Saccharomyces cerevisiae S288C: one gene and its partner. The main gene of each other region encodes a partner of the protein of the gene in region 2 in a complex. Links are inferred from orthologs where the notes say so. Each region holds a gene or a part of one and is shown on either strand. Other genes may lie near its edges. The genes, in order: RAD6 and BRE1.

Region 1 (3,307 bases), on a different chromosome or scaffold from region 2:
TAGGTCCCAATTCTTGAAACTTCCATTCATCGAATATAATTGGTTTCTCCTACAAAATAACAAAAACGCAAATATACTACCTGCTGATGTGCAAAACGTGGTCAAGGTGTTTCATCTTGATGATAAAAGGTTTACTTGGAAGAGCATAGATCCATTCAGCAAAGCTATAATTTCATTCGTCGTTTTTGTTTCCATATATGTGTGGTTGGATGAAAGTGCAAAACAAAAAACGAAGGAGCTGCCCGCACAGAAGAGTACTGTAATATCAGAATAAAAAAAAATGGGGTCACTCTTCATTCTTGCAGTTAAAAGTGCCACTCACTCATGATTTTTTTTTTTCCTGTTTTTTTGATTTTTTTTATATATTATACATTAAGTTATCTAAGTAAATATATTCTTTCTACTCTAAATAAGTATTCCTTGAATCAAACACAAAAGATACGGGTATCGGCAGTTATAACCGATAACAAATTGTCCTTATTTCTCATTTCACGTTATTTTCTCCAAAGAAATTTATGGTAGAGCAGTGTTTCTTTTTAGTATATTATTTATATGCAATGTTTCTATCATTATTAAATTTTCTTTACGGTATAAAGTAGAAGATGGAGGAATAGAAAGCAAACGGATCGATAGAGAAAGAAACTCACGATGAAGCCCTATATTTGATTGAACAAAAAGGTAATCGAATTCATAATATCGGCTCGGCATTCATCATTAAGATTCTTTTGATTTTTCTCAGTCTGCTTCGTCGTCGTCGTCGTCGTCATCATCATCATCATCATCGTCCATATCGTCCATATCATCCTCCCAAGATTTCTCTACCGTCTCCTTAACTCTTTTGACGTACTGTGATTTATGATCTTTGAATAATGTTGCAGCTTCAACGTTTGCTGGCGAAGCTGGATTTGGATCGTTGAATAAACTTTGAATGGATGTCAATATGGATGCGACATCATATGTTGGAGTCCATCTGTTCTGCAAAATATCCAAACAAATTTCACCATTTGCATAGACATTGGGATGAAACATTTCACTCAAAAATTTGACATGCGGTGGCTTATTGGGATATTCTTCATCAAACTCCAACAATAACCTAAAAGTTCCGTCTTCATATGGAGTATCGGCTGGCCCGATAATCATGGCGTTCCATACCATGACGTTATCAGGTAATGGTGAAGCAGATACACCCGGTGGGGCATCTTCCTTCATACGTTTAAAATCTCTCATCAACCTTCTTCTAGCTGGTGTGGACATGACGCTTTATCTTTTAGTCTCTGTCTGCCTAAAAATAATCTTTGGAATTCGATCTTCGTTGATTTTCCACTCTACTATTTATGTCATCAACTCTGCAACTTGATAGTTCTTTCCTTTTTTTCTCTTACACATTCCATTCGCTTTCATTTTTATTTTTCCAGCTTTCTACTCCGGCTACCCGGAGGTGCCTTTTTGTATATACATACACTAATCCGGGAAATGTAGTCACCATACTAATATTCCGAATATGTATTTGTTCCTTGGTATATAGTGTAAGCATGGTTAGCTCACACTTTATCTAATTGTAGTTTCTTCGTATGCTTCATCAAGTTGCCTAATTTTAATACAACATCGGTACCATATCCAGGCATTGAATGCAATGAAAGGTCGCCGTTCCAATATTCAGCATACACTTTACACATGGCTAACCCAATCCCAAGCTTGTATCTAAAAGACCGCTTTAACAATTCAATTAGGGGAGTTTCATATTTGATGTGCCCATTTATGATGCTAGGATAACTCATTGGTTCTAGCGACGTGTGCATGTACGGTTTTAATGTTATTGACTGCAATGACTTCAGTTTGGAGTTATATTTAGTATGGGAATGTACTTCGTCATAAATAGATACTGTTTGTAAACCAGGTAACTTGTGAAAATTATTTAGGGATTCTTGAGCCCTTTCTTTCGATTTACCGAATGACCATAGATTTTCATCATCATGGAGGACGCCCCCAGCTTTATCTGAAATTCTAAACAAATAGGATTCATCGTTACTTACTACAGTTACTATGATTGGTTCCGGCTTTTCTAATCCCTTACGAATATAGTGTTTCATGGTTGCTTCGTAAGTATTTCGAAGGATCTCCCCTAACAAATACTTCAAATGTGTAGGCAAAAAGTAAAAGCTTAGTTGAGTGTCACCTTCGATAATAAATTCTGGCATGGGAATGTCTTTAAAGTACATATCTTGGATAAATTTTTGAGATTCCTCACTGGCTTCCAATAAATATTTTTTAGCGCTACATTCTTGAAAAATATCACCCAATACCAAGGTATTTTCCTCCTTACCACTAGTGTAGTTGGCTGTGATACTGACGTGTTCCTCTACAATCAATCTTCTTGATATTCGAGCTCTTAACAGATCAGATAGTAGTTGGTCCATTTTTTCACGAGGATAAAGATCCAAAATTGTACATTCTAAAGCCCCCATTATCAAATGTGGTAAGTTTAGAGTATTGAAGCCTTCTAGCATATTTTTGATAAAATCTGCAAATTGAGAAGCGTCCTCTAAAGTTCTTATAGTCGGATATTTTCTAAAGCTTTCAAAAATATTGTAATATGACTCATAAACTTGAACAAAATGGAAGTTGTTCACAACATTAAATGGAAGTTGTTGCAATTGATTTAATTTATGCGCGATCCTAATTACCAGTTCTTCTTTTACAAATTTCCCGGAATTGATGATCTTGGTTCTGGTCAGCTTGGTAGAATCGTCATAATATTGCGCTAACTGCGTTAATGATACTGGATTTGGACTTCGTTTTAAGTAATTTTCTACTAATACCGTTCTATTATGATAGTAATGCTGCGGATTGATATATTCGGAATTTGAAGGGTATGCCTTCATGGTTTCCATGATGTAAGGTGCCAATTCTTCATTTACGGGACCAATGCAGTATTTCGTGAAATCAGGGATCTGCGAGATATTAGATGTCCTGAGAAAGTGCCGGTATCTTATGCAATTAATTTGATACTTAGACATAATTACAGAACTATTTATCCATTGACCAATCTCTCACGATCTTCATCTTTTACGTACTTTCTGGGTTCCAATGCAAGTATCCCATCCCTTCCCTTTTTATTCCTTGACGATCGGGCGATGAAATCTGAAAAAAATGAAAGTTTGGATGACTCAAAACATAGTGTTTCCCTTTAATAGAATAATTCGATTTACTCGGGAACAAAAGAGAAGAGCAACTAATTTACTATGTAGTTTACGAGCGTATGTTCATCTCTTCTATATATTCTCCCAGAGTATTATTGGAAATGTTG
Region 2 (4,759 bases):
ATATTGAAAAGGCATAATAAAGAAACAGTCTGGCAGTTAACATTTTTGGTCCTTAACATACTCAAAAGCCCATTGTACCACGACCTCCATTGAATGAATTTCAGAGAAGGTAAACTTTCAAACTGGAAAATAATAAACTGGAGAACCTTATTGTAAATGACGTTCGCTGCAATATAATCGTACGCTGAAATAGTGGAGACATAGTCTATCAATAGAGACTCATGTAAGGAAAGCATATTTTCCAGGTATTCCGGATGATTTTCTTTAAGAATGCATCCTGAAAGGCTTCTAAGACATTCCCATAATTTGATTGTCTTAAAATTAGAAAATACGTAATCATTAATCCTTTCAGATGTAATTAAAGCATTGCTACTATTCAAACTCTTGAAATTTGGATGTGACTCTGTCACATTCTCATTTGCTATCCTTGGATTCGGCGTTTGTTTAATAATCCGCGTGAATTTATTCAAATCTGAATTCAAGAATCTAGTGGTTACATGCGTCAATAAAATTTCTGAGCCAGGTATGCATGACAATGTCGATTTTTTAATTCCTACATCTGAATCAGAGAATTTCATAAATTGAAGTATGATATACCAATAGTGCCAATAAAATGACATAAGTACAAAATCATTTTTAATATAAGAAACAATGATCTTAAAAAATTTAGTATCTTTATTTTCAAAAGCTTCAGTGCGGATCATTTGTCCCTGATCGTCGGTGAATTTATATTGTCTCTTCTTCCATGAAAACAAAGATGTTTGAATACTTGAAGAGATTTGAGGAGAAACTGTCAATAACAAAATTGTATCGAAATGAAAGTCTTCTGGTAGATAAAAAAATGCGTAAGCATTTAACTTCCCGATGAATGCTCGCAGCAAGGAAGAATATTTGTTAAGGTATTGCAGCTTCTTGTCGTTTATAGAGCACTTGTCATCACTATTTGTACGTTTAAGTTTTTTGGAGTTTTTAGAAATCAAAATCAACTTGTTTGTTATGCAATGAATGGTCAGCAAAAGATGATGTGAGTATATTTCCATGTCTCTGGATGAATGGAAAGGCAATATTATTAGTATGGTCATAATTTTGCTGAGGCACTCGAGACACACGGAAGTTAGTTCTATGCTCAAGCTCAATTCAAGGGCAGTATCTATTTGAAGCGAGGTGTCAGAATTTAGAAAGTTTAAAAGTGTGACCCACCATTGGGTCAAAACATCTCTAACCTCCAGTGTACAGTTGCTTCGTGAAGAATCACACCATTGTCTTAGAACCGTTAGTAGTTTCAAGCGTAAAAAATTTGAGGAGGATTTGCAAAATTTTGTATTTTGTTCTTTATTACTAGCTGACTGATTAGCATTGTTTATGAAATTGATAAACCTGTTCAACGATTGAAATAATTGAGTTTCATAATTGTCCATCAAGAAGCCATCTTGAGACGTAGTCTTTAATCCACATTCATATAGTTGATTATGTATGGCAGGACCCATGCTTAATGAGCAATATGATCTTTAGTGCTACAACAATGCGTATATAGCATACGAAGCACAATCGAGTTCAGAATTGTTTCTCTACCCACGAAAGATAATATTGGGAAAATCACTGGTGAAATTCTGAGATCGTTAATTTCAGTGGATTCAAAAAGAAAGAGCAGATCGACAATAGGCACTAAGGATGTCTTCTAACTTTGAAATGAAGCACCAACTGATCGTACTTTGATCAAACCATCGTTATTATATAAAAGTGACAAAAGCATTTGATCACGTGATTATAATCACATCCAACGAAACTTTCTTAAAGAAGGCGAAAAAACAAAAAAGAAGAAGATTAAAAAAAGTTGGATGGATGTTGTTTGAACGGTAAACTAACAGAGAGCGCCCCAAGGTTTTTAACAGAGATAGAAAGGGCTTTCACCGTTTTTATGCTAATCGTGCTAGCTGATAATAATCAGATATGACGGCCGAGCCTGCTACTAAGAAGATCAAGCTAGAATTAAGCGATCCTAGTGAACCGCTTACTCAATCTGATGTGATAGCGTTTCAAAAAGAAGCTTTGTTTAGATGTATAAATCGTCGAAGAGTCGACTTTGAAGCCTTGCGAAAGCAATATGAACTTTCAAGAAGGGAGTGCATAGATGTTTCCCGCAAGTTGGCAAATATTATGGCGCTGATAGTAACTTTAGCTAGGTTTATCGAAACATTCTGCACAGACGCCAACGAGAAGCAACTATGTAGGGAAATAGCCCAAGGCGATGAGACGTTGATAGTTCAGCGCAGTGATTCTTTCATGAAGCTACTGACTAAATATGGGAAGCCAAACACGACAGATAGTAATACTAATAGTAATGCTTCGGATCATATTCAAGAATTAACAACGGAGTTAAAAAACTTGCGGAAAAGTAAAGAGGAGCTCTTTTATGAAAATTCGCAATTGACAGAGGAGATTTCTGCTTTGAAGGAATATTATACAAATATAATTCGCAAGTATGATAGAGATGAATCCTTTACTATAAAACGTGTTTTTAAGGAAGATAAGACTGATGCTGTAAAGGAATTACGGGAAGATGAAAAAGAATCTAATGAAAACAATATAAAATCTGGAAATAAAGACTCCTCTGCAATTAATGGTGATAATACATCCAAAAAATCCGAGAAAGGTGATGAACTTGTGCAGGCGGAGGATGAACGAAAAGAAGATGCTGAGAATGAAAAATTAGAATTGGATCTGAAATTTTCTGATTTACGGGCAGAGATAAACTCCTTGAGTTCCACTATAAAAGACCTTGAAAATATCAGAAGGGAAAACGAGGAAGAGCTCATCAAAACACGTTCTGAGGTATCCAATTTAAAAAAGCAACAGATAGCAGCAGCAGACCAAGACCCAGATTTCAAGTCATATGACCATGAGTCCCTGTTAGCAAAAATTCAACATTTGACTGAACAAAACGCAGAATTATCTGAGATCAATAGTTCCTTTTTATCAAAATTTCAAGTTTTAGCCAAAGAGAAAGAAATATATACGAAGAAGGTCCGAGAAGAATTCCAGAAAAGTCTCGACTCCCTAGTAGAAATGAACAGTTCATTGGAAAAGGACGTTGTAAGAATAAGAACGGCTCGTGATGATTTACTAAGCAAAATCGCCATTTTGGAAGCTGAAAAATCCAAGACTGAAGTGTTGAGCGATTTACAACATGCAATTGATATTTTGAAGGAGCAATGGACAAAAATTGATCAAAGATCAAACGATACAAAATCCTCGTCGACTCAAGATGCATTAATAAAGGAAATTCAAGACTTAGAGAAGGGTTTTAGAGAGTTATCCGACTTAACTCATAAAAAGTACTCTGAGATTATTAATCACGAATCTGTTATATCCAAGCTTACCGTAGAAAAAACTAAGGCTGATCAGAAATATTTTGCCGCGATGAGGTCCAAAGATTCAATTTTAATTGAAATCAAAACTCTTTCTAAAAGCCTCAGTAAATCAAATGAGCTTATTCTACAGTTAAAGGACTCTGATAGATTGCTACAGCAAAAAATAGGAAATTTACATAAACAACTGGATCTTTCTCAAAATAATGAACGCAGGTTAATTGATTCCAGTAAAACAGAGACACTAAAAATAATTGATTTAAATAATACATCCACTAAACTGAAAAGGTCATTAGAAAAGCTACAAGAAGAAAGTAACAAAAGCATTGCAGATATGACGCATCTAGAAACTAAATTAAATGATACAGAAATAGAATTGAAGCACTTCAAGCAGAAGGCATCTCATCTAGAATCCAAGTGTGAAAAACTACATGATACATTGTTCCGTGGTAACAACAAAAATAAGGGCTCGAGCGATGAAGCACTCGTAGAAGAACTAGCAAATTTCCGTACACTTGTTTATTGTTCCCTGTGTTCTAAAAATTGGAAAAACATGGCTATTAAAACCTGTGGCCATGTCTTTTGTGAGAATTGCTGTAAGGAACGATTGGCAGCGAGAATGAGAAAATGCCCTACATGCAACAAAGCATTCAGTTCCAATGATTTATTGACAGTGCACTTGTAATACTAATTATTCTACCACTTTTCCACTGTTTGTGTTATATCCTCCACATACATATACATATAATATATGTAAATCTAGTTTTGTCATTGCTTTTATTTTATTTGCGTACATCCTAGCCTAACTTCTGAATCAAAGAGTGACGTCTACTGTCGCATGTTTCCAAAGAAAAACTCTAATTGTACATATCATGCTGATAATTCCTACAAGCCCTAAAGATTCATATAATACTTTGGGCGGCCGGGTGAGAGAACGCCCGCGACCTGAAAAATTTTCTGTGATTTTTTATTATGACCTTAATCGCGCTTGTTCAAGATATATTTTCATCACAAATGTCCATACATATATATATATATATATATATATATATATCAACATTTGTAACATAACTCTTCTACTGCAGTCCTTGGGGGGAACAAGGATAATAGCAGAATCATATCAACTGGAAAGGACAAGAATAGATTTATAAACGGGTGATAAGATTAATGGTATAGTGAGTTCACTCTGCCGATAGTTCTTGTCATTTCTTTAGCTTCTTGCTGCTCTATGTTTTGCTGAAAGCGAATGAATTATGGACTTTTAATGATGAAGATTTTAATTTTCCGTTGGTCTATTAAGAACAGAAGTACTTCAAAACTACTTTTTAAGACCATCCTTTTACAGTATTTTTTCAATATTGTAAAACTTCTCATTTACTTTGTGTCTTTAT

The links.
Region 1: the proteins of BRE1 (region 2) and RAD6 are in contact, whole or in part, in a crystal structure (PDB 7W75), measured with the Kluyveromyces lactis proteins. The link is inferred for Saccharomyces cerevisiae S288C from one-to-one orthologs. Residues at the interface, in XP_451665.1 of Kluyveromyces lactis: Ser17, Glu18, Pro19, Leu20, Thr21, Gln22, Val25, Ile26, Phe28, Gln29, Ala32, Leu33, Arg35, Cys36; in XP_452450.1 of Kluyveromyces lactis: Met16, Lys17, Glu18, Ser20, Met39, Ile41, Asp50, Thr52, Ser148, Trp149, Asp152, Met153, Glu154, Met156, Ala157.

The regions. Positions count from the first base shown.
Region 1 is NC_001139.9:391,933-395,239, reverse strand, and holds RAD6 (E2 ubiquitin-conjugating protein RAD6), read right to left. Parts: upstream 1,255-3,307; coding exon 736-1,254; downstream 1-735. Other genes in the region: GEP7 (Gep7p), read left to right, coding at 1-274; protein kinase PKP2, read right to left, coding at 1,542-3,017; YBP2 (Ybp2p), read right to left, coding at 3,250-3,307. UniProt on the Saccharomyces cerevisiae protein: E2 ubiquitin-conjugating enzyme that accepts ubiquitin from the ubiquitin-activating enzyme E1 and transfers it to a E3 ubiquitin-protein ligase.
Region 2 is NC_001136.10:323,341-328,099, reverse strand, and holds BRE1 (E3 ubiquitin-protein ligase BRE1), read left to right. Parts: upstream 1-1,950; coding exon 1,951-4,053; downstream 4,054-4,759. Other genes in the region: AHK1 (Ahk1p), read right to left, coding at 1-1,487. UniProt on the Saccharomyces cerevisiae protein: E3 ubiquitin-protein ligase that mediates monoubiquitination of histone H2B to form H2BK123ub1 in association with the E2 enzyme RAD6/UBC2.